Linked DNA regions of Sus scrofa. The protein of the gene in region 1 purifies or fractionates together with the protein of each later gene. This does not show direct contact. Links are inferred from orthologs where the notes say so. Each region holds a gene or a part of one and is shown on either strand. Other genes may lie near its edges.

Region 1 (3,803 bases):
TCCCCACAGCTCTCATGGTACCAAGTGATAGGTCGGCCTTCCTGTGACACGGGGACGCCAGATCTTCTGAGAAGATGTCGGCAATACAGGTACTGCAGGGATGGGGGGCTAGGCAGTTGCGTGTCCCCACCACCACCACGGGGGGGTGCTGAGAGGAGAGAGAGTGAGGGTTCAGGTCAGTTCCCTCCCCTTTTCCCCAGTCCTGGCTTTCAACACAATAGATTTCCAGGGCACACTGGTCGTGCAGGGTCCTAAAGATGTGAGCACAGGTCTGGGGCAGTGGAGAGATCTCAGCTGGAAGATGCCCGGAGCTCTCCGGGGGAAGGGCACCTCACCCAGGCTCCTGCAGGCCAGCCAAGAGGCTGTGATCTCGAGGGTGTGCGGGCAGGTGGGCCGGGGTTGCCCTGGGCTGCACTGCCCACCTGTCACCTGCCTTGCAGGCCGCCTGGCCATCCGGTACAGAATGCATTGCCAAGTACAACTTTCACGGCACTGCTGAGCAGGACCTTCCTTTCTGCAAAGGAGACGTGCTCACCATTGTGGCCGTCACCAAGGTAATCAGTGACCTCAGCTCCCCAAACTCCACGCCCACCTCTGGGTCCCAGCTGCCCTGCAGGGAAGGGTGGGTGAGCCTGAGAGCGTGTCTGGGCTCCTCCCCACCCAGGACCCCAACTGGTACAAAGCCAAGAACAAGGTGGGCCGTGAGGGCATCATCCCAGCCAACTACGTCCAAAAGCGGGAGGGCGTGAAGGCAGGCACCAAACTCAGCCTCATGCCGTGAGTACCTCCGAGGAGCGATGGTTGGGGGCCCCCAGGCTGGGGAGGAAAGAGGACCAGGAGCCCTGGTTTCCCCAGAAGAGAGTCAGGAGAACAGGGAGGTGAGAGCAAGGGGCTGGGATTCCGTGAGGGCTTCCGGCAACGAGGGGAAGGGCGTGGGTGCTGGACCTGGAAGGGGAGGATGGAGCCAGGAGGACTGAAGAAAGAAAGTCAGAGACAGAGGGTGAGGGCCCCAGGGCCTGACACCTGCAGAAGCGTGTGAAGAACCCGGAGGGAGAGGGCCTCCAGGAAGTGGAGCCTGGCAGATGCATGAGGAGGCTGGTGGGGGCACCGGGGACAGTGCCCGCGGGCCACCACGACCCCAGGCCTGGCCTTCCCATAGCTGGTTCCATGGCAAGATCACAAGGGAGCAGGCAGAGCGGCTCCTGTGCCCACCAGAGACAGGCCTGTTCCTGGTGCGGGAGAGCACCAACTACCCCGGGGACTACACGCTGTGCGTGAGCTGCGACGGCAAGGTGGAGCACTACCGCATCATGTACCACGCCAGCAAGCTCAGCATCGACGAGGAGGTGTACTTTGAGAACCTCATGCAGCTGGTGGAGGTGAGCAGACACAAGGGCTGGCCCAGGTTCCAGCTCCAGTCCCACTGCTTCTGACTGGTGGCCTGGGGCACGTCATGCAGCCTCTGTGAGCAACACCCTGATAGAGCACCTGCTGTGTTCCAGGGTTGATCTCTGACCCCACCACAGGGAGGTGGCACCCTGGTTCATAGGTCAGGAAACAAAGGTTCAGAGCAGTTAAAGAACCCACCTCTGGTCACATGGTTGTAAACTAGAGGTGCTGGGACTAGAATCTGAGTTTTCTGACCCCAGAATGAGCTTCCATCCAGTTCCTCATAGACTATATGCCAAGTGTGTGTGTGTAAGCACATACTCATGACCTTCACCTTGAAGGGCCACATGTCCCTGAATCTTCCAAGGCCATCTGTGCCCCAGGCAGCCTTCACATGCCTCCTGCACTCACTGGGCGCCTTCGCCTTTTCTCTGCTGGCCTGGCTTGACCTGCGACAGGGGGCACCTGGGCCCACTAGAGCCTGATATCTAGAGTGAGCCAGGGCTTGTCCTCTGCCTCAGGATACTGGTGAGGCCCCAGAGTGGTAGCAACAACCCCAGTATCCATTCAGCACCTCGGTGTGTGGTGACATGGGCCAGGTGTCTGGGGCCTCCCTCACCCCTGCTGGAAACGCAAAGCCCTCCAAACCCAAAGCAACTGCAGGGCTGGGTGGAACTGGCCTCTGCTTCCCCCTGGTGGTCAGACCAGGACAGGGCATGGCAGCCATTGGAGTTGCACAGGGGACCCTGAGCGCCTGCCCTGCCCTCTGCAGCACTACACCTCAGATGCAGATGGACTCTGTACCCGCCTCATCAAGCCAAAACTCATGGAGGGCACCGTGGCGGCCCAGGATGAGTTCTTTCGCAGTGAGTGCCACCCCTCCCCGAGACCTCACTGGCCCACCCACCCGCCTCCCACCCAGGCTTCCTGGCACTACTTCCATCCCAGAGGCTCTGGAGGCCTCCAGGGAACCCCTCACCCCACCCCGACCCGTCCTCCACTTTATGTCCAGTCTGCCTCTGCTGTGACCCCTTCTCTGGCTTCACCACCCCTCAACTGACCACCCCCTCCCCCCAGGTGGCTGGGCACTGAACATGAAGGACCTGAAGCTGCTGCAGACCATTGGGAAGGGGGAATTTGGAGGTGAGCCAGAAAGGGTGGGAGCCCTGAGAGGTGCCAGGGACTGTGCGGAATCCAGGGCCAACCCTTAACTCTCTTCTCCAGACGTGATGCTTGGCGACTACCGAGGGAACAAAGTCGCCGTCAAGTGCATTAAGAATGACGCCACTGCCCAGGCCTTCCTGGCTGAAGCCTCAGTTATGACGTGAGTTGGACTGGGGGTGAAGGGGTAGGGAGGTCGCCCCGGGGGCCAGGAGGTGATGGGGAGGCTCGGCAGGCTCTGACCACCCCATGTTGCCCCAGGCAACTTCGGCATAGCAACCTGGTACAGCTTCTGGGCGTGATCGTAGAGGAGAAAGGCGGGCTCTACATCGTCACAGAGTACATGGCCAAGGTGGGTGCCTTCCCTGGGACCCAGCCCCCATCCTGGAGCTGAACACGGGCTCGAGCTTTCCAGCTGCCCCAAGCCCCTCCCCCCACACACACACCCTTGGGCCCCTGCTCCTTCTCTCCAGCCGAGCTTTGAAGTCACCCAGGCTCAACTTGGCTCATCATTTTTTCACTATGACCTTAGACCAAGCCTCAGGTCCTCACCTGTGAACAGAGGCACTAGCAAAGTTTACCTCAGAGATTTATGAGAATTAAGAAATAATGCATGAAAATTGCTGAGCACAGCGTCTGCTATTCCTTCAGAAGTGATGTCCTGACCCTTCCCCTGTCCACCTCCTCTTCACACTGCCCACTGAGTGTCACCGGTTACCCAGCCCCAGGCCTACTGTTCCCAAGGTCTGGCGGGCAGGTTTGACTTATAGGGCCTGTTGGTCTGTCTGTCCACCCCAGGGGAGCCTGGTGGACTATCTGCGATCCCGGGGTCGGTCGGTGCTAGGCGGAGACTGCCTCCTCAAGTTCTCGCTGTGAGTGAAGCAGCCCCTGGGGGCGGGGCGGGGCGGGGCGGGGGTGGGGGAGCAGCCCTGCTCTGGAACCCCTGTCTGAGGGGACCTGTGGCTGGCTCTCTCCTAGAGATGTCTGCGAGGCTATGGAATACCTGGAAGGCAACAACTTCGTGCACCGGGACCTGGCTGCCCGCAACGTGCTGGTATCTGAGGACAACGTGGCCAAGGTCAGCGACTTTGGCCTCACCAAGGAGGCCTCGAGCACCCAGGACACGGGCAAGCTGCCGGTCAAGTGGACAGCCCCCGAGGCCCTGAGAGAGAAGGTGGGTGGCCTCCCCCAGGGCCTGAGCAGTGGGGGGTGGGGTTCCTGGGTCCCTCCCACCCCCAATTCCCGGGATCTGA
Region 2 (3,803 bases), on another chromosome or scaffold:
AGCCCTCAACAAGCCCTTCTTAGAGTCTGTGGGGTTGGGTGAGGTGCAAAGGCGCTGGAGCTAAGAGGCACAATCATGCGGATTCTGGCGACCAGAGCAGGGAGGGGACGAGAACGGAGCGTTTGGCCACAACAGGGCCCTGAAACGTGGTGAGCGGCCCAGGCACAAAGGACAATTCAGGGCCTCAGAAGCACCCCCAGCCTCTGACTCCCCCACCCCCACTTCGAAATGACAGTGGGTCCATTGAGCTCAGTGGAAGAAAGGCACATTCTTGCCATTCTTCCAATCTGCTTAATTGAGTAGAAGGCTGTCGGTGGACGTTGCACCGTGCTGGTTCCCAGCCACTTCACTGTTTGCGTGCAGGCGTTTTGGAGACACAATACTTCCCAGGAGAGTGGCTGTGATGTTCCCCCCCGAGCTGAGACTGCGGCACAGAGCGGCCGCGTGGGCTGCACGCCGACTCGTCTTGCCCCTTGAGGCCACACCACCCGCTTCTCAGCGCTGCACCCACCGCCAGAGCCCCTGGGGCACCTCCTTTCTGAGCACCCTGGCCAGCGTTTGCCAGCCTCCCCGCCAGTCCCACGCCAGCCTCTGGGAGGGATAAGCCTGAGGGCGGCCCTGCTGTGGCCTCGAGGGAGGGCAGGGGCTCCCGTGAGCAGGGCCAGCACATTCTCACAGACCCCATGCATTCTGCTGGAGTGAGTGCTGGCTGCCCCCAGAGGGACCACCCCTCCAGCGGCTGGCCGGCCTCCCTCTGGGCCGCCTATCCCCTTTGCATTCTGGTAAAAAGTGACATATGACCTAGCTGCTCAAAAACGTTAATGATTTCTCATTTTTGCTGATCTGGACGTGAGACACTGGGCTAAGCCCACCAACAACAGGTCCAATCCTTGGGTGCTTGTCTTCCCGATGTGGACACAGGCTGGGGCATCAATGCGTTAGAGAAACGCCTCTCCCTCCCCCATCCCCCCATCCCTGCCACTGGGGGCCCGTGACGCCGTCTTGTTATAACCTACAGGCAACACTGGCCAGACCTCGGCTGGTGGAAGCCGCCAGAAGGTACACCCCACCCAATGGAACAACCATGACCCACTCCATTGTCAGAACCGAGCCTTTACAGTAAAAACTTATAGCCTCCCCACCCCCTCCCACCCCCACCCCAGGGCAGGTCATGAAGCGCAGGCATCGCAGGAACCCCTCGGGTCTGGGTGGGGGGGGGCGGCCCCAACATGCCCACCCTGTTCCCGCCTCCGGGTGGCCCAGCCCTCGTCCCACCGGCACACCTTGCTCTCTGGAGATATCCGCCTTGTACCAGAACTTGGATGTGTCTTGGACGAAGTTCACGGACACGTGCTTGTCACCTGAATGATCTACAAAACAGAATTTAAAACCAGGAACCATGAAGGGCGTTTCTTACTGCAACCTGTCACCTCGAGGGGCCTAGAAGTGCAAAGGCCCCCTGCTTAAAGGGAGAAGCACTCTCGGTAACCACGGGGCACAGGGCGTGGCTGCTTTACAACGCAAAACACGAAGACAGCAGGACACTCCAACAACCCGTAGCCGGAGACGGCGGGCACGCGAGCAGAGCTGATGTGGTTTTACTCCTGTCACTGTCTCTTATTCCCTCTGCACTGGAAACATCGCATAATTGAATTCCAAATGTATTCTTTTTTCTTTTTTTTTTTTTTTTAGGGCCACACCTGCGGCATATGGAGGTTCCCGGGCTAGGGGTCCAATTGGAGGTATAGCCACCAGCCTACACCACAGCCACAGCAACGCCGGATCTGAGCTGTGTCTGCGACCTACCCCACAGCTCACGGCAGTGCCCGATGCTTAACCTACTGAGCAAGGCCAGAGATCGAACCTGGGTCCTCATGGATGCTAGTGAGATTCATTTCCGCTGAGCCACGATGGGAACACCTCGAATATATTCTTTCAATTTGTTTAAGGTGACTTTCAGACAACACTGATCCCAAGTGAAAGGGGAAAACCACCACTCAGATGTCTGCGTTTTCTGCTGCAGACTGTACACAGGAGCCCAGGGTGAATTAAGCAGCGGCTCTGGATTGGTACTTTGCTCTGGGCTAGAAGAGCAGAGATGCTCTGAGATGGAAAGGACCCCTTGAAAGCTCCGGATTCTTCTTTCAAGGTGCTCAGCCCAGCACTGGCGCTTGAGCTCACGGGGCAGCCGGGCCGGAAGGCCAGGGCCCTCCCTCCCGGGTGCAGGAGGAGAGCCTCCCGCGGCGGAGACGCACCTACCTGGGGACGGTGCTGCTGCCTCTGCAGCCTTGGAAAAGTCCGGGAGGACGTTGGGGAAAGGGATGCTCATGGTGCTCCCGCTGTGAGGGCTGGAGAAGCCGCTGGAGGACGGGGAGACGGAGCCGAAGGAACGGTCTCCCTCCGAGGCCCGCTTCTTCTCGGGAAGGGGCGGCTGCCCGGGCAGGGTCATCCCCGGGCCCTGCAGGACCGGGCTGTGGTGGCCGCTGTGTCCAGGCGCCACCGTGAGAAAGTTGTGGGACAGGAAGCCATTGTCGGTGGCCTCAGCTGCTGTCCGCGGGGGGCCGGGGGCGGGGGACGCCCCGTGGGAATTGGCCAGCAAGGCCCCAGAATCCTCCCTGGGGGCGAGGCCACCTCCCGAGGGGGCCGTGCTGAAGCTCAGGAAGGCCTGGCTGCTCGGGGGGCCCAGGGCTTCGGGCGGCTCCACCAGGGACAGCTCGTGGCCGTGGAAGGACGTCTGGAGCTCGGCAGGTGGGAAGGGGGGCCGCCCGGGGCCGTCCTTGCCAGGCCCGGAGAACTCGCTGGCGCCGAGGAGGCTCCCTGCAGGCCGGCTGCCCCCCAGCAGGGCCAGCGTGGACTTGGGGCTGCTCTCCACCCACTGGTGCTCGGCCGAGGAAGGGCTGTTCAAAAGACAAACCACCAGAGAAGAAGTCCAGGGGGCTGCCTGGGAATGAGCCAGGTTCCCACAGGGCGAAGAAGGGGACCCGGAGGCTGGTGCTGGGGCTCCCCTGGAGCGTGGCCTGTACCCCCAAGATCAGAATCCAAGCCCTGCCACCCTCCCACTTGACTTTTCACCCCCAGACGCTCAGGCACAGCCTCGGGGACCAGCCCGACCCACCTGCACAGCCTGCTGTGCCTCTGCCCTCCTCGCACTTCACCTGGCCAAGTGGCCTCTTCTCCCCAGGATGAGGCTCGGCTGCGTCCCTCTGAAGCCCTCCCAGCCCAGAGCCACGTGTGCCCAGGGACCAGCGGTGTCCCGCCCTCTCGTGCCTCCACGTGCACATCAACCATACGTCTACTGAAACTGCCTCCCCTTCTTCCTCTTCCCTCGATGCCCAACTCAGTGCCTGACAGTTTTCAGCAAGGGCTTGCTGGTACAACCCGCTGATTGCGGATGCCAGTGAGAAGCTATGAAATTGGAAATTCCACCATTAAGAATATTGGAAATTACGTCATATTTAGAAATATAGGAAGCCAGCTAACACATATATTCCACGAGCAAACACGTATCTGCCTGTGGGTGATGCCGAGCCCTGATGAGAGATGTCCCGCTTTTTTTGTAAAGAGAAAGGAGGGGGAATTAAGGCTGGCAACTGTAAAGCAATGTGCCCACACGTGAAACACTCAGTGATGACTCCTCCCCTGAGCATCTGCAATGGTCCCCTGGCAGTCCTCTGCGAAGGAGAATCAGACATCTCTCTCTGTCCCGGGCCCCCTCCTTCCTGTTTCCCCAATCCCATCGAGGGGGCTTCCTGCACCCCCTGTACTTTCCCGAACACCTGCACAAATTCCATGTCCTGCAGTCC

The links.
Region 2: the proteins of CSK (region 1) and TNS3 purify together in Homo sapiens (affinity purification with mass spectrometry; 4 studies listed by BioGRID and IntAct, with this or other methods). This does not show direct contact. The link is inferred for Sus scrofa from reciprocal best matches to the Homo sapiens genes CSK and TNS3.

Annotation. Positions count from the first base shown.
Region 1 is NC_010449.5:58,737,774-58,741,576, reverse strand, and holds part of CSK (c-src tyrosine kinase), read left to right. Parts: intron 1-9; 5' UTR 10-74; coding exon 75-89; intron 90-440; coding exon 441-554; intron 555-664; coding exon 665-777; intron 778-1,159; coding exon 1,160-1,379; intron 1,380-2,161; coding exon 2,162-2,255; intron 2,256-2,466; coding exon 2,467-2,532; intron 2,533-2,613; coding exon 2,614-2,713; intron 2,714-2,811; coding exon 2,812-2,902; intron 2,903-3,348; coding exon 3,349-3,422; intron 3,423-3,528; coding exon 3,529-3,724; coding exon of another isoform or gene 3,725-3,803. UniProt on the Homo sapiens protein: Non-receptor tyrosine-protein kinase that plays an important role in the regulation of cell growth, differentiation, migration and immune response.
Region 2 is NC_010460.4:49,164,431-49,168,233, reverse strand, and holds part of TNS3 (tensin-3), read right to left. Parts: intron 2,898-3,803; coding exon 2,260-2,897; intron 1,371-2,259; coding exon 1,284-1,370; intron 1-1,283. UniProt on the Homo sapiens protein: May act as a protein phosphatase and/or a lipid phosphatase. Involved in the dissociation of the integrin-tensin-actin complex. EGF activates TNS4 and down-regulates TNS3 which results in capping the tail of ITGB1.